Linked DNA regions of Drosophila melanogaster. The protein of the gene in region 2 purifies or fractionates together with the protein of the main gene of each other region. This does not show direct contact. Each region holds a gene or a part of one and is shown on either strand. Other genes may lie near its edges.

Region 1 (4,259 bases), on a different chromosome or scaffold from region 2:
CTTCGGCTTCTGAGGCAAGCAAAACGCCTAGTTCAGCATTCATTTTCGGTAGCACGGGTATGTATAATTCGACGTTGACCTCAAGATAAAAGGATCTAACCGCTTTTTATGTTCACTTCAGATAAATCGGAGCCTGGAAAGGATGCTGGCCCATTAGCTAATCTTCAAAAACTAGCATCAGGCGAAGGACAAGGAAACGTTTTGGGATCTATATTCCGTAGCGGCTCGTCAAACGAAAATTCGTCTGACGGTTCTGTCAAGTTCTTTTTCGGGGGTGGAAATAAAGCGGCTGAGCAACAGAAGAAAGATTCCTCAGAGTCTGTCTTCGGAGGCAATAAAGCGGATTCCCAATCGCCAGCGACCCAAGAAGCACCGAAGTTGGCCTTCGGTGGAATTGCCGCACCTGTGTTCGGAGACGCCAATCCTTTTGGAGGCCACAAAGTTAATTTGCAAAAATCAGATGGCAAGGAAGAACCAAAATCTATCATTGGCGGAACCCCATTGTTATTTGGAGGGTCCAACGCCTTTGGAATACCCAAAATTGAAACCCAGTCACCTGCTAAAGACTTTGTGTTTGGCAGTGCACCCGCTTTTGGACAAATGGCAACCTTCTCATTTACAGCTGCAAAAAATGAAAAGGAAAAGGACATAACCTCGAATAACACCACTGATCTTAAAGCCGAAGGCAAGGAAAAGAAGGAGTTGGTGCCGGAGACGACCAGCACATTTGCCGATTTGGCCAAGACAGGCAGCACGTTTGCAGATTTGGCAAGCAATCCGGGCGGCACTTTTGCGGACTTAGCGAACAAGACGGGCAACGACTTTGCCAACCTGTCGGCCAATAGCCAGGGCACTACCGTGGGATTCAACAAGTCCGCCGGGGGCGGCTTTTATAACCTCACGCATCAGAACGCTTTCAAGAACTTCGAGTCGCCGCAAGCCACAGAAGAGTGCGATGATGACGGCGACGCGACCACTGATGACAACTACGATCCGCACTATGATGCCATTGTAGAGCTGCCGGATGAGATAGTTGTCACCACGGGAGAGGAGAACGAGACTAAGCTGTTTGGCGAGCGGGCGAAGCTTTATCGCTATGACGCCGAATCGAAACAATGGAAGGAGCGAGGTAAGCTGTAGTAATAGTCCCTTTCTTATTCACACTAAAAGTTTTTATAAAACCAAAAAAAAAAAAAAAAGGTGTCGGTGAGATAAAGGTGCTGGAGCACCCGGAGCTGCAGACATTCCGACTGATCATGCGGCAGGAGCAGATCCACAAGCTGGTGCTTAACATGAATATCTCCGCCTCCCTGCAAATGGATTACATGAACGCGCAGATGAAGAGCTTCCTGTGGGCCGGCTACAACTACGCGGTGGACGCAGAGGGTAAAGTTGACACCGAGGGCGTCCTGGAACGCCTTGCCTGTCGATTCGCCAAGGAAGAGATCGCCAGTGAGTTCCTCAACACGGTCAATTCGTGCATAAAACGAGCCAAGGCCTTGCAAGGTGATGAGGAGAACAAGAATGACGACGCGCCGGAGGAGCAGGCGAGCTCATAAGCAAACCGGATCTAAATATATGTAGCATGTCTAGGATTGTGTTAGAATATTCATCCAAAACAGTAGCGACAATGGCTATTTCACATTTTGCTAATAAAATTTCGATAAACATTAATATTACATTTGAAATAAATTTGACTATTGAATAAAGCAATCGATATATTAGAGAGGAGACAAATTCGGACGTACAACCATATAGCACAAGGAAACTGGCTATGTTTTTATATATTAAATGTACCTCTACCTATTTTTAAAATATCGACAGCACTTAGATAAAAAATTAAAACAAACAATTACCTTTCGCGATAATCGCTCAACTCCCGATTGTTCCATCCCCAGCCGATAGTTTGACAGCCCTGCCACTGAGAGAGCATAATGACGTGGTGAACTCTGTGTGAAAAAAGAACAATAAATTGCCGACAAATCTCTAGTGTAATTAAATTAGTTACCGCATAGAAACGCACTAAACTGTGGCCAGAACTTTACGAATCCCGAATACTGTCTATATAGCAATCTCAGGAAACTGACAGTTGAAACAGCCCTACAACAAGGAGGAAGAAGAAGAAGGCGACGACGGGCGGTGCAGAATATGAATTAGAGAATAATTAGCGATTGAAGCGCGTCTAGTTTGCCAGTTGGCCCATTTCGTGTTTTGTTAGCCCCTTTCCGGCAGCCCCTGCCCCCGTCCCGGAAAATTTTGCAATTCCCGAATCGATACACGTGTGCAGCGAGAACAACGACAGCGTCAAAGTCAACAATAAAAGTCGAGGGCCGGAGATTAATGAGAGACTACCGACGACGACCATGATGAACGAGGACAGCAGTGCTGCCGGCGGCGGCGGGGTTAAGAAGTTCTTTCAGCGCCTCTCACAGGTAAGTAATTGTGGATAGCCCGTACGTGCCGGGAACTAACCCGCATCCTTTGCTTCCGCAGACCTACCAATCCGCCTTGGACCGTAGCACACCGCACACACGAATGCGCTGGGTGTTCGCCGGCTTTCTGCTCCTGCTCTTTGTGCTGCGCATCTTCATCTATCAGGGCTGGTACATCGTGTGCTATGCGCTTGGCATTTACCACTTGAACCTGTTTATCGCTTTTTTAACGCCCAAGATCGACCCGGAGTTCGATCCGTATTCGCAGGATGACGAGGACGAGGGACCCAATCTGCCAACTCGCAGCAACGAAGAGTTCCGGCCATTCATTCGCCGCCTGCCGGAGTTCAAGTTCTGGCTGTCGGTGGCGAAGAGCACGCTCATCGGTCTGATTTGTACGTTCTTCGATTTCTTCAACGTGCCGGTATTCTGGCCCATCCTGGTCATGTACTTTATCACGCTCTTCTGCATCACGATGAAGCGCCAGATCAAGCATATGATCAAGTACAAGTACTTGCCGTTTACCCGCAATAAACCGCGCTACCAGCGGGTGAATGATCTGGCGGGTTCCGGACCCGGTTCCGTGGCGGGCAACTCAAAGTGACAATTAGCCGCACAGACGTCGGACACGCGGGCGACGGCAGCGGGATCGGGTGATCCTTCAAATGCCTCTTCTGCAGCTGCAGCGCCACCATCACCAACCAGCGACAGCGCAGCGACCAAGGATGTGGGGTCGCCAACAGCATCGTCCATCAAACCACCGCAGATCATTGCCATTGAGGACTACTAGAGAAAGCTACCGAAAGCAGCCCGGAATGGGAACCAGCAGCATAACATCAACCAGAAACAAGCTTATAATATGATTTTCCTTTTCGGTTTGTGTAGCATTTTTCGTTTCACTGTTGAGTTGTCGTACGGCGTCTTGTGCAAAATACCTTGTTTATTGTTTAATCTAACTGCTTGTTTAAATTTATATTTATTTACAATGCTTTCTATCTATTGTAAATCCCAAACGATACCGAAATACTGCAGATCAGCTCTAATTTAGTTTTTCATCCTAATCCTAACAATAATTTAATAACTCTTCTATCCAAAAAGTAGACTTACTGTATTTGAATCCAATTATTTTTGATTATCGTGCTAAGATGCTATAATAATATGTCTAAATATATATACAAACATATATATATATATATTTTGCATTATGATTATACAATTTTTGTTAGCGTTAACTATACAGAATGTTAAAAAAAGGCGAATTGAAAACTGAAACTATAGGAAGTGTACACTGGGTGCGTCTTATGAATAAAGAAAGACAAAAGAAAACCAAATAATTTATCGTTGAATTTTGAACCATTTGGAAAAGGTTGATGGCTTTTGTGGCGTGGTTTTTGTATTTATCTAATCGCTTCTGCATGTAGTTTGCTGTTCGATTTTAAGATACGAAACCAATTTTGATTAGGCCAATGCGTGAAATTGCTTTAGCGATTAGCACAATCACTAAGTGGTTATTTAAAAACGACTCATTTTCTGAACAGTAAATACATTTTATTTTTGTTAAAACGAAGCACACACCAACAAAACGAGCACACGTCATCTAGTCTAGAAAACACGATACAAATAGTTAAAACCCTAGCACGGCAATAATAAAAAAGTTCAAATGCACATACAAATATATATATAAAAATGAATGATAATACGGGAATTGTAATATATGAATAGGCTAACCATGCAAAACAATCGCACATTTTGATTAATTATAAAAAAGTGATTTAATTATGGGCACTTGGGAATACTTTAAGGGCAGCGGGACAAGAGAGATTTCAC
Region 2 (9,355 bases):
CTATAAAGTGCAGCGGATGCAGCAGTGATTTGTACTTGCGCAACAGTCGTTCGATCTCCTCCAGCCGCTTGGCTGCCATGGGCAGCGCTTGCACGGCATTCACCTCGGATTGCAGGGATTGGAGCATCGCCAGTGCATCCGCATTGCTGGTGTCGGAGCCACAGTTCGCGCAGTTCCAACTAGTGTCCGGTTCTGCGTAGTGGATAAGGTCAGCTTATCACTTTCTAGAGGATCTTTTTCGCTCACCTGTTGGCTGCCTGGGCACTTGGAATCCCTCGGCGCACTGACCACACTTCAGGCTGGAGAAGTGCGTTCCCAATTCGGTGGGATCCAGACAGCGTTCGCATTGGCAGGTGAAGAACTTGCCCTGCTTCAGGTGCTTCTGTCTCTGGGCAGTGCCATCCAATGTGTAGGTGTAGCTGTGGTGCAGGGGCTGACCCTCCTCCAAGTCCACCATGGCGCGCAGTCGGATTCTTTGGAAGAGAAACAAATATAGGAGGACTTATTTTAGATGTGCAACAGCGGAAATGTAATTCTAGACATCTTGAACTAGAGAACTGAATTTACAAATCTATTTACAACTCACTTGTATCCCTCGCTGGGATAGATGCTCCTGGATGTGTTGGGCACGCAGTTGTGGGCCAGAATGCCGGTATAGGGAAAGAGGCACCTCAGTGGATAGCCCTTCGGGCTGCGCGCCTCGAAGGCGTTCACCTCCAGCACACCCACCACCTGCATGATCAGCTCCTCGCTGAATCGGTTGGCCAGTTGGCAGGGACCGCGCAAATACTGAGCGATATTAACGCGATCCGCATGCCAGACATCCGCGTCCCTTTGGCGCTCCTCCTTGTGGTGCTCCATGGGTGCCACCTCGTTGTCCCATCGCTCCGGATTCGCCTCCTTGGCCAACAGAACTCTGAAAGTAGAAAGTTTAAAAGGGTATTCCAAATGACAATCATATGAAGCACAACAAGTAACCTATTGATTATAATTAGCTACATTAAATTAAAAATCTTTCTCTTTTTTAATTGTTAATGAATCCTTTTGTATATAACTTTCATCTTGAGCGGATAAAATAGTGACGCTATCAGTTTGCCTGGTGCCTGGTGGTCTATTTTTGTTCCACCCGCTGGGCTTCACCTGAGCGGCATAATACAGTCCAATTGCGGACAGTGCCTGCTGCCGCTGGGCAGGCGGAAGAATCGTGCCCGAGCATCCTTCAGCTGGCTGCACTCCAGGCGGAAATGGGCGTTATCCGCTTGTTGGGCGCACTCCACGCACAGCGGCCAGCCACATTCGCTACACAGCTCCTCCTCCGGATCTGGGTTGGGTTCGTAGCAACCCAGGCACACCACCGGTCCATTGCACTTGGGCCCGACGGCAAAGGGCAGCTCCTCGATCAGCAGACCGTGGCCACGGATCGCTCCCTTGGCCACCAGATAGCGTCCGCAGACCGGACTCCACTGAACCGCTGTCCTATTCACCGACAGCGTTGGCGGCGATGTCATTTCGCTGACTGATGCCGGCTGGCCGCACTCAGATCTCAGATCTCATGTCATGGGCACACCCCACAGATGATGCCTCCTCCCCACTACATGACTACATTTCTGCCTGCTCCGACATAAAGCATCAAAATTGCTGGGCACAGTGGGCATGCGAGGTCCTAGGTGAGAAATTTTAGTTTTGAACAAATTGTCTTGAGAAAACATTGTTCAATTTCTATAATAACTAAAATACCTTACATTTTCATAAATTAAATAATTTACTGGTTGTAACTTTTAAGTTGCTTGTAACTTTTAAGTTGCTTGTAACTTTTAAGTTGCTTGGCTTTGTTAGTTCTATTTCTAAGTACTAAGCACCGATCTATTTAAACATGTGCTTAACATTATTTAAATAATAATTCACAGTGCTTACAGTTCAGTTTTGCTACGAAATATATAAAAACATGATGGTACATTGATCATAACGCGCCGCAACTATCATATACCAATTATTCTGTCATAATAATATGTACAAATATGGCTTGTTTCATGCCATAATTTTCTCCTTACTTTCATGCACTTTAAATTTAGCTATTTATTTTTTATTTTCTGTGCGATTTGCTCCACTGTCCCTTTCACAGACTTGTTAATCCATCCGTCCGCCTTCTTTGACGTAGAGTCGCCATGAGAATCTGTATATGCCGGCTAGCCTGCGAACTGCGAGAAATGGGCCGCTGCTGCCAAAACTAATATTCGGACAGACCGCCCAGGTTCCCCTAGTAGCACCCAGTAGCCCCTGCTGTACGGATGTACCCAGCACCATCACCCCCGCCCCGCTGGAGCGCCCGCGAACTAACCTCAATATGGTTATGCAATCCAACTGCGGGCAGACGCCATCATCGCTCACATTCCCGGCGAAAGTGACACGTGCGGCGGAGAAGACCTGGCACTCTCCGCGGTGCTCCGTGACGTCTTCGTCGTCGGCGCACGATCCGCACAGCGGCCAATCGCAGAGTTCGCAGCGGTCCAGCGAATCGCCGTCCTCTCCGAACTGCAGGAACTGGTAGCAGCCCAGGCACACGATTCCGCTGTCGCGCTTCGGTCCGCGTGCGAAGGGCAGCTCCTCCAGCACCAGCTCGCCCCGCTCCACGGAGCTAGAGGTGGCCAAGCAGCGTCCCAGCACGGCGTCCTCCTGCAGACGGGCCTTCAACATTCTGTCGCCGCACGGCAAATGCACTGGTCTCGCTTTTGGCCCATCCGAATGGGATTATGCGGTCGATTGGCGGCCCTGCACGCAGATTCGTCTAAAAATAAAAAGAGCATCGCACACACTTCATTGGTGTCAATCAATAAAGTTGTAATATATTTATTGCATTTTGATTGCTTTGGATTATAACTTTTTTAAAGCCCATTTACTTGTCCACAACTTTAAAGTTTTCGTTTGCAGGAAACCCTTTTATGTAAAAAAAAAACACTTTGATGTAAGTTAATTGTTCTTAAGATAACGAATTTCTTAATAGAATGATTGAATTCTAATTTCAATAATTATTTTAAGTAACCGTTAGTTTTCAAATTTCCGTTACAAAAAGTGTGACCATTGCCATTAAGAGTGACGCAGCGTTACCAGATAGTATATCTGCGGCTTGTTTTAGGGAATAATTATTGGACGAATTTTTAGGGTTGGTAACACTAAGGCACAGAATTACAAAATTTTTTGGTGTACGTTTGTCGTGGTGTCTCTGTTCCTCTGCGTTTCGCATTACACTCTAACCAAACTAAAACTCATCAAAAGTAAGTAGCTCAGGAGTAAACCCCCTCAAAATTCAGTGAAATGTGATGGATACCCCTATGGGTAGAAGGAAAATCAGGATTTTCGGTGCCAGTGATTTCATAACCTCGAAATGAAAAAATTGCAAGTAGACACGCGCATGAACGAAAAGCAAAAGGGCTGAGCACTTTTTTGTTGGATGACGATGGGCGAGCTTCTTATCACCAAATCACGCAATAATTAATTGATAAATCCGAAATTTAAAGGGGATATTAAGCCGGTTAGCTGTCACACACACATCCACACATGAACAGTCCACGCACACCAATGCCTTCGCAGTTCATTGGCAGCAGCTGCCGGCGAAAAAAGGGGGCAAAGAAGCAGAGAGATCGATGGAAAAGTGCCTGGCGAATTTCCGTTACGTAACGCATGTCGCATCAATTCCGTTCGTTATCGTCATGTTGCCATCCACCAGCGTGCAGCTCGCTCAATAAACATTTTCGATTTCACTCTTTACCGTTCTTTATCGTCGTTTTGTTTGTTTGTGGTCATGTGAGGAGGTGGGTGCACTTCGCGATTGTGGGTGGTATTTTCGCAGTGACGTCACCTGGAAAATCAATAGACCACCTTTTCGGGCAGCTATTCACTTAGCTTTCCACTTTCCCTCATCGATTTCCCTGCTGTTATGCAACTGTCGAAAAAATGAGCTGCACATCCACCCAACCACCCCCTTTATAATCTGCTTGTCAAGGTCATCGTCAACGAGATGCTGATTCATTTTCACCGGGACATCCACCTGATAGTATTATTTTCAGCATCTAGTGACCAGGTTATATCACCTGACTTCCGGAACAATAAGAGCCCATCCCATTTAACGTTTGGCTGCCGGCCATAAAGATTTTTGTCTGCTGGCCGCTGCTTTTCATAATTTTCTGCCTTGATTGCCTTGAGTTTCCCCCCACCAATCCCCCCGAACACAACATGAAATATTTATATTGTTATATCTATATAATAATTTCAATTAGATGTTTTGGGTTATTTTTGTTTGATTTTTTTTATGCTCAATATCGGATAGAAATTTATTTATCCGCGACTAATATTCCTACCGCGACTGTGAGTCGCATTCCTGACGTCACGCAAATAGAAACAGCGAAGCAGTGACCACAGCAGACGTTGCAAATGTGCAGTTAGCTTCTGAGTCAATGATCGCTAGCCTAACGGGACTGAACTGACCAGCAATTAATGCCAGCAAGAACGGAACGTAAACATAGAGAGAGGCAAACCTGTGGCCAGATAAATAGGGAAAATCTCAGTATTTTTATTAAAATTTTAGTTTAAAAAACCTATAAAAATATTTGAAAAATAAATTTTGATTTAAATGGTTTTGCATTGGTATAGAAAACCCTTAATTTCTTGGAGTAAAATAGACTTAGTCACTATTTGTTTTCTATCTTCGCTTCTATTTTTTGCGCCACTTTATTTTGCCCAGACGTGCATTGACCCCCTCCTCAGTCACTCAGAATTTTCGCTGCTTCAGTTGGTGATTCTTTGCATGTGGCCGCCTTGAACACTAATCTAAATTGATTTCTTTATTTTCGCCGCACAAAATTGACATTTAGCCAAAGTGAAAATGGGGAAAAAGCCCTCGAAATTCTTGGGACATGTTGATGCTGTTTTTTGGCGTCTTTTAGTTTTCACTTTTCATTTGCGGCCGATAGAACATTTTGAAATCAAGTCGAGCAAAAAGTAATAATCATTATGTTGCTGATAAGATTAAACTTATCGTTCGCTAAACGCAATTAATGACCTGGCGAGTGAAATGATTTCGCAATAAGTATCATCGTCATGATTATCGATTATTCACCAACTAATTGAAGGTGCGATTTAATGCATTCCATTTCAATCCATTCCAGATGGCTCCTCCATCATACAGCGATTTGGGCAAACAGGCTCGCGACATCTTCAGCAAAGGCTACAACTTTGGCCTGTGGAAGCTCGATCTGAAGACTAAGACCTCGTCGGGCATTGAGTTCAACACAGCCGGACACTCCAACCAGGAGTCTGGAAAGGTCTTCGGCTCCCTGGAGACCAAGTACAAGGTCAAGGACTACGGCCTGACCCTCACCGAGAAGTGGAACACAGACAACACGCTGTTCACCGAGGTTGCTGTCCAGGATCAGCTCCTCGAGGGTCTGAAGCTGTCCCTGGAGGGCAACTTTGCTCCTCAGTCTGGGTAAGGATCACATGTTATTACATATATGTTCACTGCAGAATAATTAATATTGCATATTTAATTAAAAATCGTCAGAAACAAGAACGGCAAGTTCAAGGTTGCCTACGGCCATGAGAACGTCAAGGCCGATTCGGATGTGAACATTGATCTGAAGGGCCCCTTGATCAATGCCTCTGCCGTGCTTGGCTACCAGGGATGGTTGGCCGGCTACCAGACCGCATTTGACACACAACAGTCCAAGCTGACCACCAACAACTTTGCCCTTGGCTACACCACCAAGGACTTTGTTCTGCACACAGCTGTGTAAGTATTGCAATTGCCACGCATGGCAAATGAAATCAATGCAAACTAATGATTGCCTTGTCCGGTGTTTAGCAACGATGGCCAGGAGTTCAGCGGCTCGATCTTCCAACGCACTTCGGACAAGCTGGATGTGGGTGTACAGCTGTCGTGGGCCAGCGGCACCAGCAACACCAAGTTCGCCATCGGCGCCAAGTATCAGCTGGATGATGATGCCAGCGTGCGCGCTAAGGTGAACAACGCCAGCCAGGTGGGTCTGGGCTACCAGCAGAAGTTGCGCGACGGAGTCACCCTGACCCTGTCCACGCTGGTCGATGGCAAGAACTTCAATGCCGGCGGCCACAAGATCGGTGTGGGTCTGGAGCTGGAGGCCTAAGTCCGTGGTTTTCCGCTAGTCGTGAAATCCTTGAACGTTGTCTAACATCCCCACACGCCCAACAACAACAACAACAACAATAACAGCAGCCAGACAAGTGCAGAAACAACAACAAGATCAAACAAAATAAAAGATACGATATTCTTTAAAAACAAACAACACACAGTCAAATATAAAGAGAATCTGCACATCTTAGCGATTCGATTGGATTGGATTAGTTGTCAGCCGGCCATCACCACATCCGCCCATTCCCTGCCCCAGCCACGCGAATCTGCAGGAGAGACACTGCCAAACAAACGATGCAGGGGGATGGATGGGTGGTGCAATCGATGGGTCGGTCAGGTCAGTCCGTCGTCGTTGGATGTAGCTTTGATTAGTGCATTGAATATTAGCGAAATTGTTGTTGACAAAAGTGCAGTAAAAATACATTTACCTATTAAACGAAAAAAAAAAACAAAATGGAAAAGACGGAATATTATGGCTCAAAAGGCATTGCATTTTTTTCAGTTCTCAAGGCTTTACGGATTGCCTGCAAAATCCTGCGGCGAAACTAGGACACACATAACACCAAAATCACATCCTTAATAACAATCTTTACCTTTTCGTTGTGCATTTACCTGAGAAATAAATCGAGAAGAAATAAATTATCTTGATTGCAGCGTTGGTGGTGGAAGGCTTGGGAATGGTTAGCTTAATTTAAGGATTTAAGCTTGAAAGAAAAAACTGTATAATAAGATAAGTACCTTATACTGATCCCAAGTTCTTTGTGCTTGAAAAACTTAACTTTTTCGGTTGGGCACAGGACTCCGTGCGTTTTAGTTCACAGGTCTCCAGCGTGTATAAAACTCGATACTGATCAGGCAGCGTTAGACATAAATTTTCGGCTAATCGAGGCTGTTGAAAAGTAGACAAAAAATTTCGAAATTAGTCGGGCCATATATACCATACCACCTATTCATACAGCCCGTAATGGCCGCCAAAACACCGACATACCCAGATCTGGGCAAGCTGGCCCGCGATCTCTTCAAGCGCGGCTACCATCCGGGCATCTGGCAGATCGACTGCAAGACCCTGACCAATTCGGGGATTGAGTTCTTCACCACCGGCTTCGCCAGCCAGGACAACAGCAAGGTGACCGGCTCGCTTCAGAGCAAGTACAAGATCGAGGACCAAGGCCTGACCCTAACCGAGCGATGGAACACGGAGAACTGGCTCTTCGGTGAGATTATGCACCGGGATAAGTTGGCACAGGGCCTGATGTTGGCCGTCGAGGCCAAGTTTCAGCCGGGATCAAAGTGCGTATTCCTTTGGGGATCGTTTAGGTAGCATCCTTTAATTATATAAACATCTCGGGTCAACAGTGAGGCGGATGGCAAGTTCAAGATGGGCTATGCCCAGGACAACTTTAACTTCCTGGCCGACATTGGACTGAACTCGGAGCCGATACTCAACTGTTCGCTGGTTGTGGGCCACAAGGAGTTCCTCGGCGGCGTGGGCACCGAATTTGACGTTGGCAACACCGAACTCAAGGGCTGGAAGGTGGCCCTTGGTTGGACAAATGAAACTGCCACCCTCCATGGCGAGCTGTAAGTTCCCCGTGTGACGAGATGTGGGAAGACTTTATCTTATGTCTTTTAATCAATTTGCAGGAAGAACGGCGACACCTGGTTGGCCTCGCTGTTCTACAAGGCGAGCGAGAAGATCGATGCCGGTATCGAGGTAACCAAGGGAGCCGGCGGCGGCGAAGCTGCCGAGGGTGAACAGCAGGGCGGAGATGTGGTCGTCAATCTGGGCATGATCTACCACTTGGAGGAGGATGCCCTCGTACGCGCCAAGGTCAACAACCTGGTGGAGCTGGGCCTGGGCTATGAACAGAAACTGCGCGACGGCATCACCGCCTCCATATCCGCCGTGCTGGATTGCAACAACTTTAAGGACGGAAACCATCGGTTCGGCGTGGGAATTGCCCTCCAGTGCTAAAATGACTGCCAATCACTTAACGATTTCAATTTCTAAATTTATTTTTAAGTTTATCTTTATTCAAATGACAAATATATTTTGTTCTTCATAATGGCAATATAACAATCTGAGTAATTAATTAAGCAGCTTAAATACAGGCTGTAAAATATTACAAATTAAAAGTAAATAATCTTGTTAATTTTGATCACAGCTGCTTCGATATTATTATCCAATTTCCAAAGAACTCCAAAATTTCAAGTGTGTTTAATTAAATTTTTCTTTTAATTATTGTACTTTTTATATGGCACAATGCCCATGAGAGAACGGATACGGAACTTGTTCAGAAGGAACAAGCGAAAGCGGGCTGCATCGGATTACCTGGAACCCCACGATGAAGGTGGTGGCAATGTCCAGGACAACCGGAGTGCAGAAGAAGATAAGGAGGAGAACAAGGTGGAGATGCTGCCGCCACCACCGATGGAGGGTGAGATGCCCAGCTATTTCCACGTTGGTCTGCTGGCCAAGATGTGCCTCATCCACGGCTACACCATTGGCCGCTGGAAGCTGCAGTGCACCTCGAAAACCGAAAAGGATTTCTATTTGAGCAGCTTCGGCGAGGGTTATCCAACATGGAACACTGTCTACGGCGGACTGGAGGCGTACAAGGAGAGTGGAAACTTTCATGCATCCCTCGCCTGGTTGTCGGATGGAGACTTGCTATCGGATCTTGGAGTGCATGGTGATGGGCTGGGCGGCACATGGTCCACTGTATTGAAGTCTATGGTCAGCTACCCTGAAGGGTAAGTGGGATTCGAATTTGCTGGAAGGGATTCAAGAGATTATCTTTCGTAAGTACATATTATTCTTTACAGACGCAAGTTTCAATGCAAGCTGAAGTGTGGATTCGATCGCAATCCTGGCAAAGTGGAAATGTATATTCCCATCTATAAGGAACCCTTATTGATGGGCTACATTATGATGCAGCCTGTCAAGAATTACCTCTTGGGCTACCGCACGGTGTTCAATGTGGAGGATAGGGACTTCAATATGCATGCTTTTTGCGGAGGATATAGTAACGATGTCACAGAAGTCGGACTGAAATTGTAGGTTACAACCAACATCCTCCAACCCGCAAAAAACTACATTTATATATTTCAGTGAGAATTTCAAGGCGCTGCGAGGATCAATATTCCAGCGCATTGGTGAAAAGTGGGCAGTGGCTTTGAAGGCCAACCTGT
Region 3 (3,812 bases), on a different chromosome or scaffold from region 2:
GAAAAGCTAGCCGGCTGGACGGTGACGATGCAGGAGAACGGCTCCATAGCCATCGAATCCGTTGAGGTGAAGGTGGAGGAGGACGAGAAGGATCCCAAGCAGAAGAACATTTTGATATCGTGGACCAACCAGGACGAGGACATTGGAGCCTACATACTGAATGTGCTGCAGAATATGTGCTAGGCAACGAAGAAGCATCCCATTGAAATCCCACGCCTTAATTCCATAGATAAGCACAAAGTGTAGATACCACCAATTTCTGAAAGTTTAAAGAGTATCAAAATATACATAAACGTTCCAATAGTTTTTTGGTCATTAGTCATTGCCACTTGAAATTTGAGACTTTATGCACATTAAGTTATATCAATGGGTCTTTGCATAAGAATGCAATCGAATCCCATGATATCAATGTGTAAAAACCAAACAGACCTGTGCAAGTGCTTTCAAATTCCTTGCCTCCCACTCCAATTAGGTAAGGACTCCATGGTTAAAGTTATTTTCGTTCGTTCCACGCTATTTATTCTGGGGTTTTTCTGAAAGAGTAACATTACTAGGGCTCCAGGCGTAGCTCCAGGTGCCTGGCACCATATGCAATTAGCTGTATGAATCGTTAGAGCTGTTCGAACACATTCCATTCGCTTATGTGAGGGCGGCGGCACCGGAGATGATTTCAATCAGCTCGCGAGTGATGACCGCCTGTCGGGTACGGTTGAAGGTGAGGGTCAGCTTGTCGATCATCTCACCGGCGTTCTTGGAAGCGTTGTCCATGGCAGTCATACGGGAGGACTGCTCCGAGCAGGCGCCCTCCTTCATGGTGTAGAAGATGAGCGAGGCCAGCGAGAACTCCAGATAGCTCTTGACCACGTCGCTGTCGAGCGAGTCGTAGACGGCCAGCTTCTCCGACTTCTCCACGGTGGATCCGCTGAAGATGGGGAGGGTGGAGCACTGGTAGGACACCACCGACTTGAAACGGTTGTACACGATCTTGCCCTCGGTGTAATCGTAACCGGTCTGCAGAACCTCGTTGGCAATCTTCGAGGCGTCCAGGAAAGTGGGGGGCAGTCGGCCCACCTCGTTGGCCACCATCAGGATGTTCTTGCCGTACAGACGGGACAGAATCGCGCGCGACTTGTCGCCCACGCAGAACACCTTAGTGTTGGCCTCGTCCTGGGCCAGTTCGCCGCGAATGAGACGGGCCACACCAGTGTGGACGGCACCGCAAAGACCACGGTCCGAAGTCACTGCGATGAGCAGCTTCTTGGGCTCCGCCTTCTCGTCCGGCTGGATCTCCGTCTTCTCGAAGAACTGCTGGGCGCCGATGCCGTAAGGACGAGCCGCCTTCAAGTCTCGCTCGGCACGAGCGTACTTGGCAGCGGACACCATCTTCATCGATTGCGTAATTTTCTGAATGTTCTTCACCGACTTCAGGCGGATGGAAATCATCTTCAGGGTGGCCATGCCACGCTGCTGCTGGGCCAGCATGGTGGCCTCCATGGCCAGGGGCAGCAGGAGCTGGGTGCGTTGCATCATCATCCTGTGAGTTGTCGAAGATTCCCTGTCGCGAAAATTAGCTCGATTCACTCGGCAAAAATTGAGAAAATTCACCTACCTTGCGTTAAGTTGGCTGCGCCACAACGAGTGTTATAACACCGAGCAGAGTTGCCACCCAGTTCGGGTTAACGCGGTGGCGATTCGTGGTGAACGGTAAAATATTATATTAAATAATTTATTTTAATTATGGAAATTTCGGATAATGGATTTGTGCTACATATAACTATTAATATTGGATAAAATACAAAACTTCTTTGGAAAGCTTCAGAATGCACAATAAAGCTTGAAATTAATTTGAATTTATGTAACTCATAATTATGACAATAGAGTTAAAAACAGAATAATAATTGATAAGGATTAAGAGGTTTGCCAAAGATGCCAGCTTGTTTTCTACCCTCGACCAGAGTTTTCCTTCTCCTTGCCAGCTCTGTTTTGGAATCAGCTGCTCACGCACGAGCCACGAAGTTCCGTCACTAACGCCTCACGCAAAAAAAAGCTGACGTACTCGGGAAAAAGATTAGGATAATTCGACGGAGACGAGCGCCCGATCCGATCTACTGACTCCCCCGACCCGCAGCAGAGCCACATAGACACGATCGCCCTGTCCAGGACACCCGGGATCCCAGGGATGAGACCTCTGGGGACGAAAAACAGCGGATAAGTTAGCTGTGTGCGTGTGTGTGTGCGTAAGCAAAGCTGGAAAATTGTTGCTGCGCATCGGAGGAAAATAAAGGACATCAGGCGGCTGGATTGGCATGAGGAGGATAGGGCTCAAGCCAAGGCTAAAGACAGAGGCATAGTGCTTGAGGATAAACCGAGAATCGGGGCTCCACCGATTTCAGTGCCTTTGTGTGGCAGCAACAAGGTGTGCGTGTGTGTGAGTGCGTGCGTGCGTGTGTGCGTGCGTGTGTTGCCTGCGCAGTGCGTTGTTGTTGCAGTTGCAATCGCCAGTTGTTGCTGTTGTTGTTGCTGTTGCTGTGTGACACAACAGTAACAAAATATTGAGCCGCCGAGCAAAACACATAATGTGGTCGTTCTTCTCGCGCGACTCCTCGAAAGACTTCCCCTACGACATTGGCGAACCGGTGGGCGGCTTTGACCAATACTCCATATGGACGCTGCACAAGGCCAAGCGCAAGACGACGCTGGAGGAGGTGTCTGTGTTCGTCTACGACATCCGTAGCGGATCCGACACCAAGTGCGAGCTGGCCAAGGCGGCGCTGAAGCGCCTCAAGACATTGCGTCACCCCAGCATCCTGCAGTATCTGGACTCGCTGGAAACGGACAAGATGTTGTACGTGGCCACCGAGGCGGTGGATCCGCTGGGCACTTACTTTTCCAAGCTGGGCAGCGACAATGTCCAAAAGGGCCTCTACCTGGCCTGGGGCATCTTCCAGATCACTGTGGGTATCCATATCCCTGATATTTTGCCCTAGCTAACCAAGTCACCAATCCCTTTCAGCGCGCCCTGTCCTTTCTCAACAACGATGGCAATCTGCGACACAACAATGTTTCCGCCTGGTCGGTGTTTGTCAATGCCTCCGGCGAATGGAAACTGGGCAGCCTGGAGTACGTCTCAGCGGCGGATGGTAATCCCATGCCGCCCGCCAAAATACCTGTGACCCTGGAGGTCTACGATTCCCCCGAAAAGAACGATCCGAGCAAGCTCAAGGCGGCCACCAAATGGTACGTAATCCTCTCACCTTAGACTATTTTAATAATCCTTCAAATCGGATTCTCTACCAGCTCCGTGGACATGTGGGGCCTGGGCTGCCTCGTGTGGGAAGCTTTCAACGGTGTGCTCAAGCAACGCTCCAACCTCAAGGATATAGAACACATACCCAAGTCCCTGCAATCGCTCTATTGTGAGCTGGTTGGCGCCTCGCCTTCGAATCGTCCCAACCCGGCGGATATAATCACACGTTGCCGCAAGCCTGGAGGCTTTTTCAAAAACGATTTGGTGGACACACTGCTCTTCCTAGAGGAGATCCAAATCAAGGACAAGGCGGAGAAGAATCGCTTCTTCAGTGGTCTGACCACGCATCTCGACAACTTTCCGGACAACGTGTGCAGGCATAAGATTCTTCCACAGCTGATAACAGCCTACGAGTACGGAGATGCGGGCTCTGCCGTGCTGGCTCCCATGTTTAAGGTTGTCTATTGAATTGGCATACTCCTATATGACTTGATTTCACAAAGAGTTATAATCTTGCAGCTGGGCAAACTGCTGGACGAGGTGGAGTACCAGAAACGCATTGTGC

What was found. The genes of interacting proteins can lie anywhere in the genome.
Region 1: the proteins of porin (region 2) and CG11857 purify together in Drosophila melanogaster (affinity purification with mass spectrometry, with the first as the bait; one large-scale study listed by BioGRID). This does not show direct contact.
Region 3: the proteins of porin (region 2) and ATPsyngamma purify together in Drosophila melanogaster (affinity purification with mass spectrometry, with the first as the bait; one large-scale study listed by BioGRID). This does not show direct contact.

The regions. Positions count from the first base shown.
Region 1 is NT_033777.3:25,257,001-25,261,259, forward strand, and holds CG11857 (uncharacterized protein), read left to right. Parts: upstream 1-1,897; 5' UTR 1,898-2,363; coding exon 2,364-2,432; intron 2,433-2,493; coding exon 2,494-3,036; coding exon of another isoform or gene 3,037-3,222; 3' UTR 3,223-3,759; downstream 3,760-4,259. Other genes in the region: Nup358 (nucleoporin 358kD), read left to right, coding at 1-57, 122-1,129, 1,201-1,559; Kdsr (3-ketodihydrosphingosine reductase), read right to left, coding at 4,256-4,259.
Region 2 is NT_033779.5:10,844,671-10,854,025, reverse strand, and holds porin (porin), read left to right. Parts: upstream 1-3,177; 5' UTR 3,178-3,272; exon of another isoform or gene 3,273-4,510; intron 4,511-4,960; exon of another isoform or gene 4,961-4,995; intron 4,996-5,162; coding exon 5,163-5,482; intron 5,483-5,557; coding exon 5,558-5,785; intron 5,786-5,857; coding exon 5,858-6,158; 3' UTR 6,159-6,601; downstream 6,602-9,355. Other genes in the region: SmydA-3 (SET and MYND domain containing, arthropod-specific, member 3), read right to left, coding at 1-192, 247-473, 587-916, 1,141-1,508; Porin2, read left to right, coding at 7,128-7,453, 7,520-7,744, 7,808-8,138; CG17139 (uncharacterized protein), read left to right, coding at 8,427-8,917, 8,990-9,220, 9,276-9,355. UniProt on the Drosophila melanogaster protein: Forms a channel through the mitochondrial outer membrane and also the plasma membrane.
Region 3 is NT_033777.3:29,747,215-29,751,026, forward strand, and holds ATPsyngamma (ATP synthase, gamma subunit), read right to left. Parts: upstream 1,950-3,812; 5' UTR 1,610-1,949; exon of another isoform or gene 1,556-1,609; 5' UTR 1,534-1,555; coding exon 640-1,533; 3' UTR 501-639; downstream 1-500. Other genes in the region: IntS11 (integrator 11), read left to right, coding at 1-183; yata, read left to right, coding at 2,577-2,954, 3,014-3,237, 3,298-3,703, 3,767-3,812. UniProt on the Drosophila melanogaster protein: Mitochondrial membrane ATP synthase (F(1)F(0) ATP synthase or Complex V) produces ATP from ADP in the presence of a proton gradient across the membrane which is generated by electron transport complexes of the respiratory chain.